Pelodiscus sinensis: one gene and its partner. The protein of the gene in region 1 binds, or shares a complex with, the protein of each later gene. Links are inferred from orthologs where the notes say so. Each region holds a gene or a part of one and is shown in the gene's direction. Other genes may lie near its edges.

What was found. Proteins that work in one complex are often made in the same cells at the same time.
Region 2: the proteins of ARPC1B (region 1) and ARPC4 are in contact, whole or in part, in a cryo-EM structure (PDB 6YW6), measured with the Homo sapiens proteins. The link is inferred for Pelodiscus sinensis from reciprocal best matches to the Homo sapiens genes ARPC1B and ARPC4. Residues at the interface, in NP_005711.1 of Homo sapiens: Glu9, Pro10, Asn28, Gln54, Thr72, Arg74, Asn96, Arg97, Ala98, Arg100, Ser143, Thr144, Cys162, Trp204, His206, Leu245, Pro246, His263, Ala319, Gly320, Lys326, Asn327, Ser328, Met350; in NP_005709.1 of Homo sapiens: Gln17, Cys21, Leu22, Glu23, Asn24, Phe25, Ser26, Ser27, Gln28, Val29, Glu31, Arg32, Glu45, Leu46, Leu48, Glu124, Gln125, Tyr127, Lys128, His129.

Annotation. Positions count from the first base shown.
Region 1 is NC_134726.1:31,969,214-31,976,271, forward strand, and holds the start of ARPC1B (actin-related protein 2/3 complex subunit 1B), read left to right. Parts: upstream 1-4,043; 5' UTR 4,044-4,093; intron 4,094-6,649; exon of another isoform or gene 6,650-7,058. Other genes in the region: ARPC1A (actin-related protein 2/3 complex subunit 1A), read left to right, coding at 248-254. UniProt on the Homo sapiens protein: Component of the Arp2/3 complex, a multiprotein complex that mediates actin polymerization upon stimulation by nucleation-promoting factor (NPF).
Region 2 is NW_027465905.1:101,109-108,886, reverse strand, and holds the start of ARPC4 (actin-related protein 2/3 complex subunit 4), read left to right. Parts: upstream 1-4,771; 5' UTR 4,772-4,926; coding exon 4,927-4,929; intron 4,930-5,163; coding exon 5,164-5,282; intron 5,283-7,778. UniProt on the Homo sapiens protein: Actin-binding component of the Arp2/3 complex, a multiprotein complex that mediates actin polymerization upon stimulation by nucleation-promoting factor (NPF).

The DNA of each region.
Region 1 (7,058 bases):
TCAGTGTGTAACTCAGGTGTTCATAACTCTGAGGCTTCACTTTACATGCTTTTTGCAAGAGAACTGTTGGTTAATTTATAATCTGGTAGCATGTGCCAGCCCCAACCCATGTAGGGACCAAGTTAGGGAACGAGATCCAGCTCATGTTTCATCTGTTTTGTTCTGTCACTTAGTTTTGCTGTAGGAGTTAACTGTGTTCAATACAAAATAGTGTAGTAGTTACTGATAAACATTTTTCTCTCTCAAGACCTTAGAGTCCTCTATTCAAGGTCTACGAATCATGTAAAGATGGATCTCCGTTATCTAGCATGACAGACTGCTTGACAGCATGCCGCTCCAGCAACCGCACAGACCTGAAAAGGGATGAGCAAGCTGGAACATTTGGAAGCACTGAGAAGATATGGCTTGGCAGATTTTCTTTAAAATACGTATTTGGTGAAATGTGTTGGTTTCAAAATCAGCTGTGATTGTCTTTTTCATTTTGATTGGTTGTTTCATTCCATTCTTTACCAAAGCTGCTCCATTAGTAGTATATTGCAGGACGTTATGGATCACTAACTTAAAAGGGGAATTTTATGTAAATTGTCTGCTAGAAATAAAAGATACAGAATGTGTTTGTAGTTTGGCTTCTTGTTAATGATCTAATCAGTAGTGAGTCCATAGGAAAGGAAAACACCTTTAATATGCCCTATATCAAGAGGATGAAGTTAATCTTCTCATCTAAAAGCTCTTTCCATCCAGACTTCTGAAAGAAAAGCCTGGTCATGGAAAGTAGTAATTTTAGATGAGGGAGACTTGTCTCAGTGATTATTTCCAGAGTGATTAGTCCTGTCTGTCTTAGCAGTTAACAAAGATTAATAGTAGCAAATTAAAACTGAAAGTCTTCTCATTATCAGCTCAGACTTGGTTTGCTAAAGGCAAATTAAATGACTTGGATTATCTGTAATGCTTTGAGGCTTGCACTGAGCACCACCTCAAATAGCATTAGCTCAAAGTATCTATGATATGGGATGGAGACCACATAATGGAGTTGAAACATAATTAATGTTGAGCTAGAGTCTAAGAGGACAAGTGAGACAATGACCTTAGCATGGTGTATACAATTCTAGTTTATTATGATGACTGGAGGATGCAGATTGTTTAGCAGCACAGAGAGCATGGACCAGCTTCTCCAAAGACTTTAAAAAGTAATGTGGGACTGGTCATACTTGCTGGAGTTCTTTTGAGTCCCTGATAACTCAGAAGCAGTTATGAATAACTGTCCATATGGCCATGTAAGGTGATTGTCGAATCTTAATGCATGCCTTGAGGTTGGCAGTGCATTAGAGAGGATTATCTGGCTAAGAGCAGTTTGCATTGCCTCATGTCAGAACGTTGCATTTTAAACACAAAAAATGAAGGGGAAAAAAAACTTACCCAATGCCTATATTTACCACTTCCTCTAAACCAGTATATAACTTGATACACTGCTTCCCTTTGACTCTTTGAAAAAGGGGGTGAGGGGGAGCCCACAAGGCATTGTCTCTTTTGCATGTCTAAAAACAACCTACCTACAACTCCCAGGCAGATCTTTTTTCAGGTAAGGGGTCTATGAAACAGAAAAATGATGATTTTCCAATTCCTCTTCTGCTTCTGGTTTCCAGAAGTGGGGGAGGGAAGTCACTGTTTTGCAGTTTTTCCTTCATCTGAAGGGCATGGATTTATTGGGACTGAAAGGAAACTCTCGTTCAACATTTAGTGCCGTGATCTGCAAAGTATCATGGTTGATTTCATCCATAATGCATGTCGCTTCCTTGTATATTCTACCTAAGTCTCTGTGCTTGAAACGGTAGTGAATTAAACCTCTTCCTCTGCTATTGCATAGGTATTATCTCCCTCTTGCAGACAAGCCTTTCAGAGCTAGGAAAACATCCCTCTAGCTAAAACCTGTCACAAGAAGCTACTGGAGACGACAAAAGAGTGATGGAGTCAGGGAATGTATTGCCATGAATACACAACTTTTTTCAAACAATTTAGGAAAAATTAAATGATCCATTCCAAACCAAGCAAAACTGTAACAGTGGAATGTTCCAAGCTATCTATAGTTGGACAAGTGTTACATACGTAAATCCTCTGGAAAAGGAGGTGGGGAAGTCAGTTAACAACTCTTTTGGCTTCTCACTTCTGGAGAAGACAAACTCCAGAGGAGCCTGACTCAGCCCTGGTGCAGGGGGACAGCAGCATGAGGAGGCAGGGAATGCGTGTAGTTGACCAGATTAACCAATAAGCCTGGGCTTATTGGTTAATCGTGTAGTTGTTTACACAGTGACATCCCTAGTGCTCACTAATCCTCCTGTTTAAGATGATCCTCTTCTGCTGCCTCTTCTATGTGGAGAGTCTTAACAGGGGGAAGCAAACCTGCAAAGTTGCTTTTAACAAATACAGGTTGGTCAACACCGGCCCCAATCCTGCTGACCTCGAGGCTCTCCTCCTCCCACTGAGCTTCCCTGCTGGCTGCCAGCCACCTCTGCTACTGGGCTTCCAGTCCCGTTACGGCTACTGGCCCTCCTGCCACCAGCCCAGAAGGGCTCCCAACCCCAGTAGAGCTGCTGGCCTTGCAGGGCTTCCAGCCACTGTCCCCCATGCTGTCAGACTCCCAGGTGCTGGGGCCCTCTGATACAGAAATGTCTGATCCATTCAACCTATCCCCTGCCCCGAACCCATTTGTTTGAAGCAAAGAGTCTTGTTGTGGGAAGTGTTTTGGCTTAATTTAATTTCTGCCAGCAAAAGTAACCATACGAGGAAGCTGCACCCGGCCTGCTGCATTCCGTGTGTCAGCTGGTGTGGTTTGAGCGGAAACACATTTTAAAATACATATCTTTGGAGCAGGCCAAATTAGAACGCTCAGTTTAAAAGATCTGTATTAGGACCTGGCTCATCAGTTTTGTTTAAGAAGAGCCAAGCCCAGCCCCATATACACTCACTTGTGGTCCTGAAGGTATCCAGTGCCTTAATTGCCCCTGGAGGCATCAGTGAGTAGCGGGGCTTTGTGACAAAGCTGGAAATAGATCCTAGGAGTCCTGAGACCAGTCCTAGACAGCAGAGCCTGCTTACTCTCTTGCAGGGGCTACATTTTCATCCGACTTTGGAGAAACACAAGATCACTGCAAGAGCTGCACATGTTCAGCAGCCATGGCTCTGTCCTGGTTAATTACACCGCAGCTCGATAGCAGCCACGCCTCTGCCTGCAGCAAAGAGGAAGTCCTATCACTGATACAGGACACTGCTGGGTTTGCCTTCTGAGCTTTCTGTGTTCAGTCAGATAAGTGTCCTTACCACAGACATGACGCTGACCTATAATTAATTCACAGCCTGGACACGCAGGAGCGGTGAGATCTAGGGGAGGCCTTCCGCCAGCTGAACGTCTGAACTGCAGCTTGGAGAGGAGACTCTTTGTTCTGCAGTGAAGTAAACCCATGCTCTCTGCCAGGGCTCTCTGATCAGTGGTCGTATTCTTGTGCGGTCCAGCCCACTGCTTACAATGAAAGAGTCAATACACTGATGGACCCAGGAAGGGATCCCTGGCAGAGCAGCTTGAGAGGGGCACTGCTGAGATGACAGCTTCTAGCCCAGGAGTAGCTTGAAGGGAGGATGGGCTTGGCTGGAGGAAATGATATCCACAGGGTAGGAAATCAAGCCACTGTTAATTAACTACTTTTGGCTCTGCAAAGACTGTAGCAGGTGCATTGTTAGCCAAGTCCCCCACTGAGGGACAAGGCGTGGTTACACCCACCAGCTTGCCTTGGAGGCTTTTGCATCTCTCCCCTCAAAACTATCCTCTTGCCTGATTTTAAGAGTTTCTTGCCAGACCATCCTCTGTTACCTTCAGCCCTAAAGCCTCCTGCTTAGACTAGGGCCGCTCTGGGAACACCACTCCTTACATGCTGCAGGAATCCGGACTATCCAGTTAAGCAAGAAATCTAGGATAGGCCAGGAAAGGTAAATCTTGAAGCATTTTTGGGTCGGGCCTTTGTGCAGCTATTTCAGCTACTTATCCTCCCCTCAGCAATGCCCGGGATATTAACTCTGCACACTTCTCCAGAGATTTACAAAGGTTAGTCACCCTGTCTGCTATGGTGCCGGTTGCCTTAGAAATATGTATTGGTAAATAGTCAACCCATTCCTTGTGTGAGGAAACTAAGTAAACTGTTGGGTGCCTGCTTAAGAGTAACTATGACAATCCTGGTTTTAGGCAGTGTAGGTGGAACTTGGTAATAACTTGTTCCGGTAATATTGTTTACTGGACCAGCGTCTGTGAATGAGTTTTTGCCCAGAAGCCATAAGCTGGCCCTACCATGGAAGTAGTAGGAAAAAAACCTCTTAGTTTACTGTGAGCATTTGACCATGGTTGTGTATAGTCACTGTCACTGTTTCTTCCTTGCTAAAGTGACACTGGAAAAGAAAAGGGGAGGGGTTGAATTTGAACACAGAAACCCACTTCCTCAATTATTAGTAGCATTTTAAAACCCCTTCAGGCCACGGTTTGCAACAGGGCAGGAACGGGGCTGGCTGAGCCCAGACCAAAAGTATCTTTAAAGCAGGGGTGGGAAACCTATAGCCTCAGTGGGGGAGGATCCGGCCCCCAGCTTGCCTGAATTTGGCCCCTGAGGCCCAGGACTCTACCCACTCAACATCAGGGAGCTGGCACTGGCGCTCCAAGCCTGTAGCCCCCTGCGCTTCTCTCTGTAGGGCTGAAGTGCCTGCCTCCTGCCCAACCCCCTTTCCCCCCACCTCCAGCCTGATCCTGCACCCTCCCAGCCCCGCTGACCTCTATCACATTCCTATGCCCTCCCTCCTACCCACACCCCAAGCCCACTTCCTGGCAGCCCCCTCCCAGACACAACCCCACATTTTTGGCCCCCCACAATCTCCTAGCCTGGGCCTCCCTAGACAGTGATGTGTGAGGGGAATGTGGAGAGTCTTTTTCTGCTTCTGACTCTTAAGTGGCTACACAAATGCTCAACTTACAGGGAACACTGCTCAGCTGTGGCCGTTGCCGTGGCAAAGTGGAAGTCTGTGGTTCTTCATTATTTTGCTTTTAAGGTGTAATTTATAGAGAAAGGGGAGACTTCCCTCCTACACCGTAGCCACGTTTTGCCAGCAACACTGGTCCCCAGGAGCCACTAAGAGTGCAAGGAGCTAGCCCCTCCTTGTCCAGCAGGGGGCTGTTCCACTGCAGGCCACGAGCAGGCTGTCTCTGCGCCCTGCTCCTTCCCCCAGTGCCACCAGGTCTGTGCCACCAGGTCTGTACGCTTGTGGCAGCTGGACTGGAAGTCGGGGTGAAGCTCAGTGCTGCTCTAATCTGGTGGTGGGTAGGGTTGCCAGATGGTTGAAACAAAAATACTGAACACCCCTACCCCCAAAAAAAAACACTGGGAAAAAATTCTGTTGAAGGGGGGAAAAAAAGAGGGGGGGAGACCAAAGTTGTTGAGCCCCCCCCAAAAAAGGACTCCAAGGACTTGAGCCAAAAAAAAAAAATTCTAATAAAACAGTGTGTCCCCTTTAAGAGTGAGTGCAGGGGTAGGAATAGGGGAGCGGGTGAGCACTAACATCCAGAGGAAAGTATTGCTTCCCCTAGGTCTTTTGGCTGGCAGCCATTTTGTGCTGGCAGCCTTGGGGAATCAGGTAAGCATGGGGGTCGGAGGAGCTGGGAGTGTTGGGGGCCAGAGGGAGGTTCGGGGCAGGGAGGAGGCTGGGTGCTGAGTGTTTGTAGGGTTGCCAGGTGCCCGGCATTTTCGCTTCCTGGCTGGGGAAAAATTCAGAAAATACCGGACATCTCAGGTGCCTGGTATTCTCTGAATTTTTTTTACCGGACAGGAGGTGAAAATACCGGACTGTCCGGGTGAATACCAGACACCTGGGAACCCTAGTGGTGGGGCGCTCGCTGAACTAGGCCTCAGCAGCCCAAGCTTTGTTGAGATGCAAACGACCTCCCCCGTGTCCCTATGCCACACTCTGAGCTGGCCTAGGGAGCAATCTGACCCACAACCCTGAATCATAACATTGGGTTAGCAAAGCGCCACGGCTTCTCTTTAACTCTGTGGCGCAGCGGCATTGCCTGCCAGGAGCCGGATTCCCATCTCATGCACCAGTTTTGTGGCGTCACTCCCTGGGGCTCCTCCTGTGCGTAAGGGCGAGTCGGGCCCTGCGAGCACGGTTGAGCCCACCAGGAAAGCAGTGTCATGGTGCCATACTGAGAAGCCAAGCGTGAGGGACATTTTTGACCCTCCTTCCTCTCTGCAACCTGCCAGTACGGGAAAGACGTAAATAGGCCTCAGACTCAGTTGGGATACACTGGGCTGGCGTGCCAGAGCGGGGCGAGCAGTCAGTATTTTGCTCAGAAGAAAGAGTGGATATTTGTCATTGTGAGGACGCTTTGGGTCTGATCCTGCACACGCTTCAGCAGGGCCGCTCACAAGAGCGGTTACTCGCCAATCTCATGTCAAGACTCTTACTCCCAGGCGTCAGGAAACACGGGGTTGGGTCTTCACAGCCACCAGCCTATCCCTTCTAGCTATGAAACTGTCCAACTGAGGGGGAGGCAAAGCAGAATCTTTCCCTGCCTCTGCCTCTTCCCTTCGGCCTTTCGCAGCCAAGTCTCCTCATGAAGCCAGGCACCTCGACTCTGCCAGGTTTGTGGGCCAGATGCGAACGCAACCGGTTGCTGAGCGTAGCAGCGATCCCCTGAGCTCCAAAGGCATCTGCCAAGCTGTAGCGAGGAAGTTCCGGCACTTCCACGTGTCGGCCTCAGAGCCTTGCAGACAGGCCTGGAGACCGGAGGAAGACAGCCCAAGCCTGCTGCGGCGGCTGCTTCTGCTGGAGGCAGCCTGTGCAGCGTTCTGCAGTCCCCAACGCCCACGCAAGGAAGTGGTTACATTTCTCAGAGAGGAAAAGGGAAGTCAGGCTGCTTCAGAGCGAAAACTCCACTTCTGCCTTTCACTCCGGGCTGGTTCGGCTGCCGTTCGTGTCGACTGCCCAGAGTCCATGAACTAGCAGACCCGCCTCGGAGGGAGGGATTT
Region 2 (7,778 bases), on another chromosome or scaffold:
CCCCCCCCCCATGGCCCCCCGATGCTGGCGCAGAGGAACCTTTGGTGTCCAGCTCTGTCAGCGGGCCCAGTGCGCCTTTCTTTTTGTCAGCAGCGGCTGCCGCCCGGGCTCCATCCTTCTGCTCTTCCAGCAGATCTTCCTGGGCCCAGCGCTGGGAGTAATGCTTCCCCAGAGGCGGGATCTGCAACAGTGCACAGGGAGCTGGCTCAGCACCTCCCCGCGGCAGGGAAGGGCTGTGTGCACCCTGCACCCACCCCGGGCATAACATAGTGCCAGCAGGCTCTGCAGGGAGCTGGTGCATGTCCTGTGAGGGCCCCACCTTCAGCAATGCCTGCCTGTGGCCCCGGCCCTTACCCTCCCAAGGTAGAGGGCAGAGGGCTGGGGGTCTCCCTCGGCCTGCTGTCAGGTGACGGGAGGAACCACAGGGCAATTGGCCAGAGGTCGGCCCCTGCACACAAGAACGGGGAGCGTCTCCTTCGGCACAGCCCTGGTGTGGCTGACAGCACAGCACATGCCAAGGGACCAGCTTGGGACCTGGGGTGCCAGCTGCAGCCTTCCTGGCAGGAGCTGACAGCACGAGCTTTCTCACTCCTGCACTTGGGGCAGAGGGGTCCTGGCCCTCTGGATTTCTGCTTCCCACAAGGTCTCACCCGAGTCTCAGCCACTCGGTGAAGGGGCCCCGGCTCTCCTGCAGAGCAGCCAGCATGTGCCTGTCTGCCTGAGAGGTGGGGCTGCTGGGTGTGTGGGACAGGCCTCTGCCACCCCCGGGGAGTGCCAGTCTATGCCAAGCACCAGCTGCCCAGGAGTGGCCTCCGAACGGGAGCTCCAGGTGCCACTTCAGGAGCTGCATGAAGCAGACGAAGAGGCACTGTCATGTGGCAGTTAACAGGAACCGCCTTGCAGGGTGTCTGTTCCAGGGATGTTCGAGATCGGTTCGTTGACCAGTCAAGTAACCTCACAAACACCTATCGGTGAGTCGACTGGTCTGAAGTCCCCGGGGGCAGGGCGGCAGCCGCTGTATCAGAGGGAGCAGCATGGGGCGCCAGGCGGGAGCTGGTCCATGGGGGGAGCCAGTTTAAAAACAAGCTCCCCTCGCGGACCGGCTGCCTCTTGCCCCACGCTGCTGCTGATAAAGAGGGCTAAGGAAGGTGCAGCCCACCACATGCAGGGGTCTGGCTCACTCTGCATGGGGCTGGCCTGCAAGGAGGCTGCTGTCTCCTGCCCCACTGCAGCAGGCAATTGGACTAGGCCTGGAAAGCAGCGGGAGGCCCAAGTGTTGGAGCAGGGGACAAGTTTCCAAATACCCAGGGCCTGAATCACTTCTGCCTGGAAATGAAAGGAACATGGGTGCTGTTGTTCCACGGCACGCCCAGCCCAGGGTAACCGGCTTTGCTGCCCCAGCAGCACAGGGCTTACGGAGAGCAAGACACCCCAGAGTATCCAGCCACCTGTCAGTCTGGGCCCTCCGCCCGAGTCGCCCCACACGGACCAGAGAGTGCCTCACGGCACGGCACCCCCTGGAGCCGGGGGAGGATGTCTCTGTGGCTAGCGCTCGCCCAGAGTGGGCACGGGGCTGCAGTGTTTACCTTGTAGTGCTCAGCCTCATCCTCCGGGGTCCTGAGCAGCTCCTCCAGGGTCCGCACCTCCTCGCTGGTGAGGTCAGCACAGTAGGGCTCAACGGAGGCCCAGAACCTGCCGGCAGAGGGAAGGGCAGAGCTGCTGACCTGAGCGTGGCTGCCCTGTGCCCAGGTGATGGGCTCCGTGCCCGAGGACAGTGCGGTGAGACCCGACTGCTCCTTGCCCTGCATCTGGGGGCTTTGCTCACCAGGCAAATGAGGTCGTTTCCTTGGGAACCCCCACGGCCCCAGCTGGACCCCTCCATACCTATTTGGGGCGTCATTTTTGGGGATCCGAGGCACGTCCACAGGGTCGTCCGGAAACTCATATTCTTGAATCTTGGGCTGGAGGTTCTTGGATTTGGGCCGCCCTGGGCCAGGCCCTGTGCCATGCCCACCCTTCCCCTCTAGCTTCTGCTTCTTGGGCTTTCCATGTTTCACGGGGGTACCAGTTCATGCTCCTTGCCCAGCTTCAGGAACCGCTTGTCCCCCTCTTGTCCTGCCAGTCGGTCAAAATCTGAAAGAGAACGGCTCAGCATCACCTCAGGGGCACAGCCCCCCACGGCTCAGCATCACCTCAGGGGCACAGCCCCCCACGGCTCAGCATCACCTCAGTGGCACCCCAGGGGTGCGGCCAAGAACCAGTTGGGGGAAGCAGAGGGTCTAGTTCCCACTGAACCCCTTGCCCTTGTTGAGCACTGTCTGCTCTTTATGGATCCCCCGCCCCTTCCCTATAACAACCATGGCGCAGCCCGTCCCCTCAGGCGCCTTCTCCTGGGCTGGCTCCCCTCAAGCTCAGGGAGCACTGAGGAGAAGAAAGGAAGGGAAGGAGGTGCCAGGCTGCAGCAAGCAGGGTTGTGCCGCGGCGGAGGGGACCTGGATCCCTAGGCCAACCTGGCGCTCCCCACCGTATGGAGCAATTCCAGGGACAGAGGACACAAGCCAGGAGGCCTCGTTGCCAGGCCAACCCGCAGAGCGGGGACCCTGCTGCAGGCCTATGCTGCAGCCAGCCTGTTCGGCCCACAGGGCGTTCCTCATGCAGCCTGAGTCCTGCATAGCACAGGGCCTGGCCACGGCCCCGGCTCAGCCCCACCAGCGGAAGGACCACCCCTCCCATTTCACTGCCGTGGTGCAATTCCCACTGGGCCAGCCCGTCCAGCGCCGGCACCACGGAATGGGCAAATCCCCAATGGCGGTGCGCAAAGGGGGCAGCTTTGCATTGGGGGGCTGCCCTGCCCTCCTGGGCCCCGACAGGCCTTGGCAAACGGATGGACTCCAGCCGCCGCCCCAGGAGCTGGGGAGCCTGACCTGCGTCTCGGCCTCCAGCACCCGCAGCCTGCGGCTGGCCGAGGACAAGAGCGTCTCCAGCTCCAGCTGCAGCGTGTCAAGCTCCTCGATGCCGATGCCATCGTCCTCTGAGCGGGCCAGCACGGCCGTGTAGCGCGGGCAGGCCTTCGGGTGCTCCACCGACTTGAAGTCGTGGAACTGCAGCGGGCAGTCCTTCAGCTCGCTCATCGTGGGGAGCCGGGCTGGAGGGGCGGGCGCTGCGGGGGGGGCCCCGCCGGGCTAGAGAGGCGGGGGGCTGCCGGGGGGGGGGCCCCGCCGGGCTAGAGAGGCGGGGGGCTGCCGGGGGGGGGCCCCGCCGGGCTAGAGAGGCGGGGGGCTGCCGGGGGGGGGGGGCCCCGCCGGGCTAGAGGGGCGGGGGGCTGCCGGGGGGGGGGCCCCCGCCGGGCTAGAGGGGCGGGGGGCTGCCGGGGGGGGGGCCCCGCCGGGCTAGAGGGGCGGGGGGCTGCCGGGGGGGGGGGGCCCGCCGGGCTAGAGGGGCGGGGGCTGCCGGGGGGGGGGGGGCCCGCCGGGCTAGAGGGGCGGGGGGGCTGCCGGGGGGGGGGGGCCCCCGCCGGGCTAGAGGGGCGGGGGGCTGCCGGGGGGGGGGGCCCCGCCGGGCTAGAGGGGCGGGGGGCTGCCGGGGGGGGGGGCCCCGCCGGGCTAGAGGGGCGGGGGGGCTGCCGGGGGGGGGGGCCCCGCCGGGCTAGAGGGGCGGGGGGCTGCCGGGGGGGGGGGGCCCCCGCCGGGCTAGAGGGGCGGGGGGCCCCGGCCGGGCTAGAGGGGCGGGAGGCTGCCGGGGGGGGGCCCCGCCGGGCTAGAGGGGCGGGAGGCTGCCGGGGGGGGGGCCCCGCCGGGCTAGAGGGGCGGGGGGCTGCCAGGGGGGGGGCCCGCCGGGCTAGAGGGGCGGGGGGCTGCCAGGGGGGGGGGCCCCGCCGGGCTAGAGGTGCGGGAGGCTGCCGGGGGGGGGGCCCCGCCGGGCTAGAGGGGCGGGAGGCTGCCGGGGGGGGGGGCCCCCGCCGGGCTAGAGGGGCGGGAGGCTGCCGGGGGGGGGGCCCCGCCGGGCTAGAGGGGCGGGAGGCTGCCGGGGGGGGGGCCCCGCCGGGCTAGAGGGGGCGGGGGGCTGCCGGGGGGGGGTCCCGGCCGGGCTAGAGGGGCGGGAGGCTGCCAGGGGGGGGGGGCCCCGCCGGGCTAGAGGGGCGGGGGGCTGCCGGGGGGGGGGGTCCCGGCCGGGCTAGAGGGGCGGGAGGCTGCCGGGGGGGGGGCCCCGCCGGGCTAGAGGGGCGGGAGGCTGCCGGGGGGGGGGCCCCGCCGGGCTAGAGGGGCGGGAGGCTGCCGGGGGGGGGGGCCCCGCCGGGCTAGAGGGGCGGGAGGCTGCCGGGGGGGGGGGCCCCGCCGGGCTAGAGGGGCGGGGGGCCGCTGGGCGGGGAGGGGCCCCGCCGGGCTAGAGGGGCGGGGGGCCGCTGGGCGGGGGGGTTCCGGGGGGGCTCCGGGGGGGGGCGGGGGGCCGCTTACGGGGCGCCGCCGGCGGGCGCTGACACACGGGCCGGGCCTCCGGCGGGGGCGGGGGCCGCTCGCCGCTACCACTGACACGGCGCGGGGGGGCACTTCCGGCAGCCAGGCACCTCTCACGCCCCTTCCGGCCCCCGTCGCTCGCCCAGGGCGGCCCTGGCCCTGGCCACGCCCCCTAGGCTCGCGCGCCGTTGCCTAATATGGAAGCGGCGGCGGGAACGTACCAAGTGCGGGCCGGGGGGTGAGGAGCCCGGCGCTCACAGCGGGGCGGCGGCAACCGAGCGCCCCCCTCGCGGACTGGCGGTGGGAGGGGTCGGCGCGGCCGGTCCCATTCTGGACAGGAAGGACGGAGGCTCGAACGAGCCACCCCCGCGGGCGATAATGGAACGGCCGCCCATCCCGGAAGAGAGGAGCCGCCTGAGCTCGCCACGTCCGCTTCCGCTTCCGGGAGAACTGGACGAGCGAAGCTGCCAGTATGGTAGGTGGGGAGGGGGAGGGGGTGGAGGGGAATGGGGGGTGCGGAGGGGGTGGAGGGAGGGGGAGGGGGGGTGCGGAGGGGAATGGGGGGTGCGGAGGGGGAGGGGGTGGGGTGCGGGGGGGAATGGGGGGAGGGGGTGGGGTGCGGAGGGGAATGGGGGGAGGGGGAAGAGGGGTGAGGAGCGAGGGGGAGTCCGGGCTCTTGCCCTTGTTCTGATTTCCCTACTCTCCCCAGACTGCCACTCTGCGCCCCTACCTGAATGCGGTGCGCGCCACCCTGCAGGCTGCCCTATGCCTGGAGAACTTCTCCTCCCAGGTGGTGGAGAGACACAACAAGCCGGAGGTGGAAGTCAGGTACTTACTAGGAGGAAGCTGGGACCCTGAGGTGTTCGGGGGGTGGGGGGTAGGAGCAAGGGTTACACTGAAGTCTGCTGCATGTCCTGAGGCCCTCCGAGGAGTTGGAGACCTTATTGCAGCAGGGGGATTGGTTGCTTCCTGAACTCAGTGCCTCTCATTAGGAGGTTGTGGGACTAAGGCTGGGAGAAGCACTGTGGGTTATGGAGTAGAGATGTAAGCAAGTATTCAACTACTTGCATCCCCCCCCCCCATTGCTGCCTCTGTATCTGAGGCAGCAAGAGATGGGGAGCTGGTGCTGGTGGTAGCCAGCTTAAAAGCTGGTTCCTCTCCCCCAGCACCTTCTTCATGGTGCCGCCTGCCCACACACTCCATGCTGCTGCCTCTGTAAGAGGCAGCAGCGTGGGGTGGGGTCAAGGGAAGGCTGCTGCAAAAGCAGCCTCTGTCTGCAGCGAGCCCAGGCCCACCATGGGCATAGGCTGCTCCAGCAGCTGCCCCTGTCCCCTGGCACTCCCTGCAGATGCGGGCTGCTGCAGCAAAGCAGCCCCTGTTCGGGGCAGCCCAACTCAGTCCTGGCTCACGCTGGGTCCGGGACCTACCTCTGCTGCAGCTCTGAAGCTTAAATGTACTAAGAGCCAGGTGGGCAGGAGGGATGTTAAATTCAGATGGGATTTCCATTGACTACTCGAGTAGTCGATAAGGGCGCCTCCACCTTGGAACTGCCGGCTCTTGCTACAGTTCAAAAGCGGAAGGCCTGCATGATCACAGCAGAACCAGTGGGAGCAGAGAGTGCTTCAGTCTCCGCTTGCGCCGTTTCCTGCTGTGCCTTACCTCCCCTGCCCCCACAGAGATGGTGCTGGGGGGAACTGGCTTTTAAGCCAGCTCCCCCCAGCACTGACTCCTGCTCCCCGGCCTGCAGACTGGCCTCTTTCTATTCATATCCTGCTGCCTGTGCCCCTGAATTTCCAGGCGGTGGCTCAGGCAGCAGGATCCTATTGAGCTGGCTTCCGGCTCCCAACCATGGCGCTACCCCAGCAGGGGCCAGAGCCGTGAGCCCTTTAAATAGCTGCAGCAACCACAGGCAGCGAAGCCAGGAGCTTTTCACTGTGTGTTTAATTCAAAGCCCCTGGCCCCAGACAATTCTGGGAGGGGGGAAGGCTAGTCCTCAGCCCCGCACTCTTCCACCCCAGGTCCCACCCCACCCCTTCCAGGCATGGAGCCAACACATGACCACATACCAAAATTCATTAAGTGACCCCCCCCTGCAAAAATTATAGCCCACCCCTGTGTTAATACGTTTACATTGCAAAGTTGCAGTAGGGGTAGGTCCCGAACCGGTGCGAGCCAGAACTGAGCCGGGCTGCCTTCCCTTACTGACTAATCAATACAAATTCTACTAACTACTTGATTAGCCAGTTCACCACATCTTAACATTCCTATGGTGGAGTAGCAAGCAGCTTCCTAGTAATCTGGATCCTTCCCAGCAGGCTTCTCCCAGTTTGTGTCCCTTTCTTCAGTTCATTGGAGGGTTGCCAACTTTCTAATCCCACACGAGTGAACATCTTTGTCCTGCCTTTTCCCCAAGGCTAAGCTCCTGCCCTGCCCTTCTCCGAGCCCCTCTGTCCCAGTCACCAGGGGCATACTGCAGAGTAAGGCTGTAACAGTGGAGTCGAGTAACCAACAAGCAAAAGCTGATAGGTTAATGCTATAGATTACACTCATCTCCACCCCCACCCCGCCCCGGCAGTCAATTTTTTAGCAGACTGGCCAGCAGCCCATCTTAGTCCTGGCTCACACCAGGTCCGGGACCTACCCCCACTGCGGCTCTGCATTTAAAGTGTATTAGGATCCAGGTGGGCAGGCAGCTCGGCTCAGATCCGTCTTGTTCTGGGTCCGGGAGCTCAGGCCCCCGTGACAGGGGCTGCTGCCACCTTGCGCTGCTGCGCCTCTATCAGAGACAGCAGCGCAGGGCGATAGGCAGCCGATCCGTGAGGGGGGGTGGGTTTTAAACTGGCTCCCCTCGTGGACCAGCTCCCGCCTGGCAACCCTGTGCTGCTCCCTCTGATACAGTGACAGCAGCGCAGCGTGGCGGGGGCTCCTCAAGAGTGAGGCCAGAGCGCACTGGCTGCCAGCCCCGCCCCCAGGGGCTACAGAATAGTCGAGTAACCAATAAGAATTCAGGTTACTCGACTATTCAATTAACGACATTTAACATCCCTAGTTCAGAGCTGTTCTGCTTGAAGCCAGCTGAGACTGACCCTGTTCCAGCTGCTGCCCTGCATTGCGTCCTCTCTGGTGTTTGTCCTACTTGCATCCCTTCTTGGGCCTCAGGCACCAAGGGCTCTGGCACAACCTTGTGTGTGCAGGTAGCTGCGCAGACTCGTGTGTCCAAGGGCCTCAGTAAAAGTCTCTCTCAGTTCTAGCACCTGGGCCTTGGTGCAGTACCCAGGGAAACTGAGGTACACACAGTGTTGGTGTAAGACTCACATGCAACAT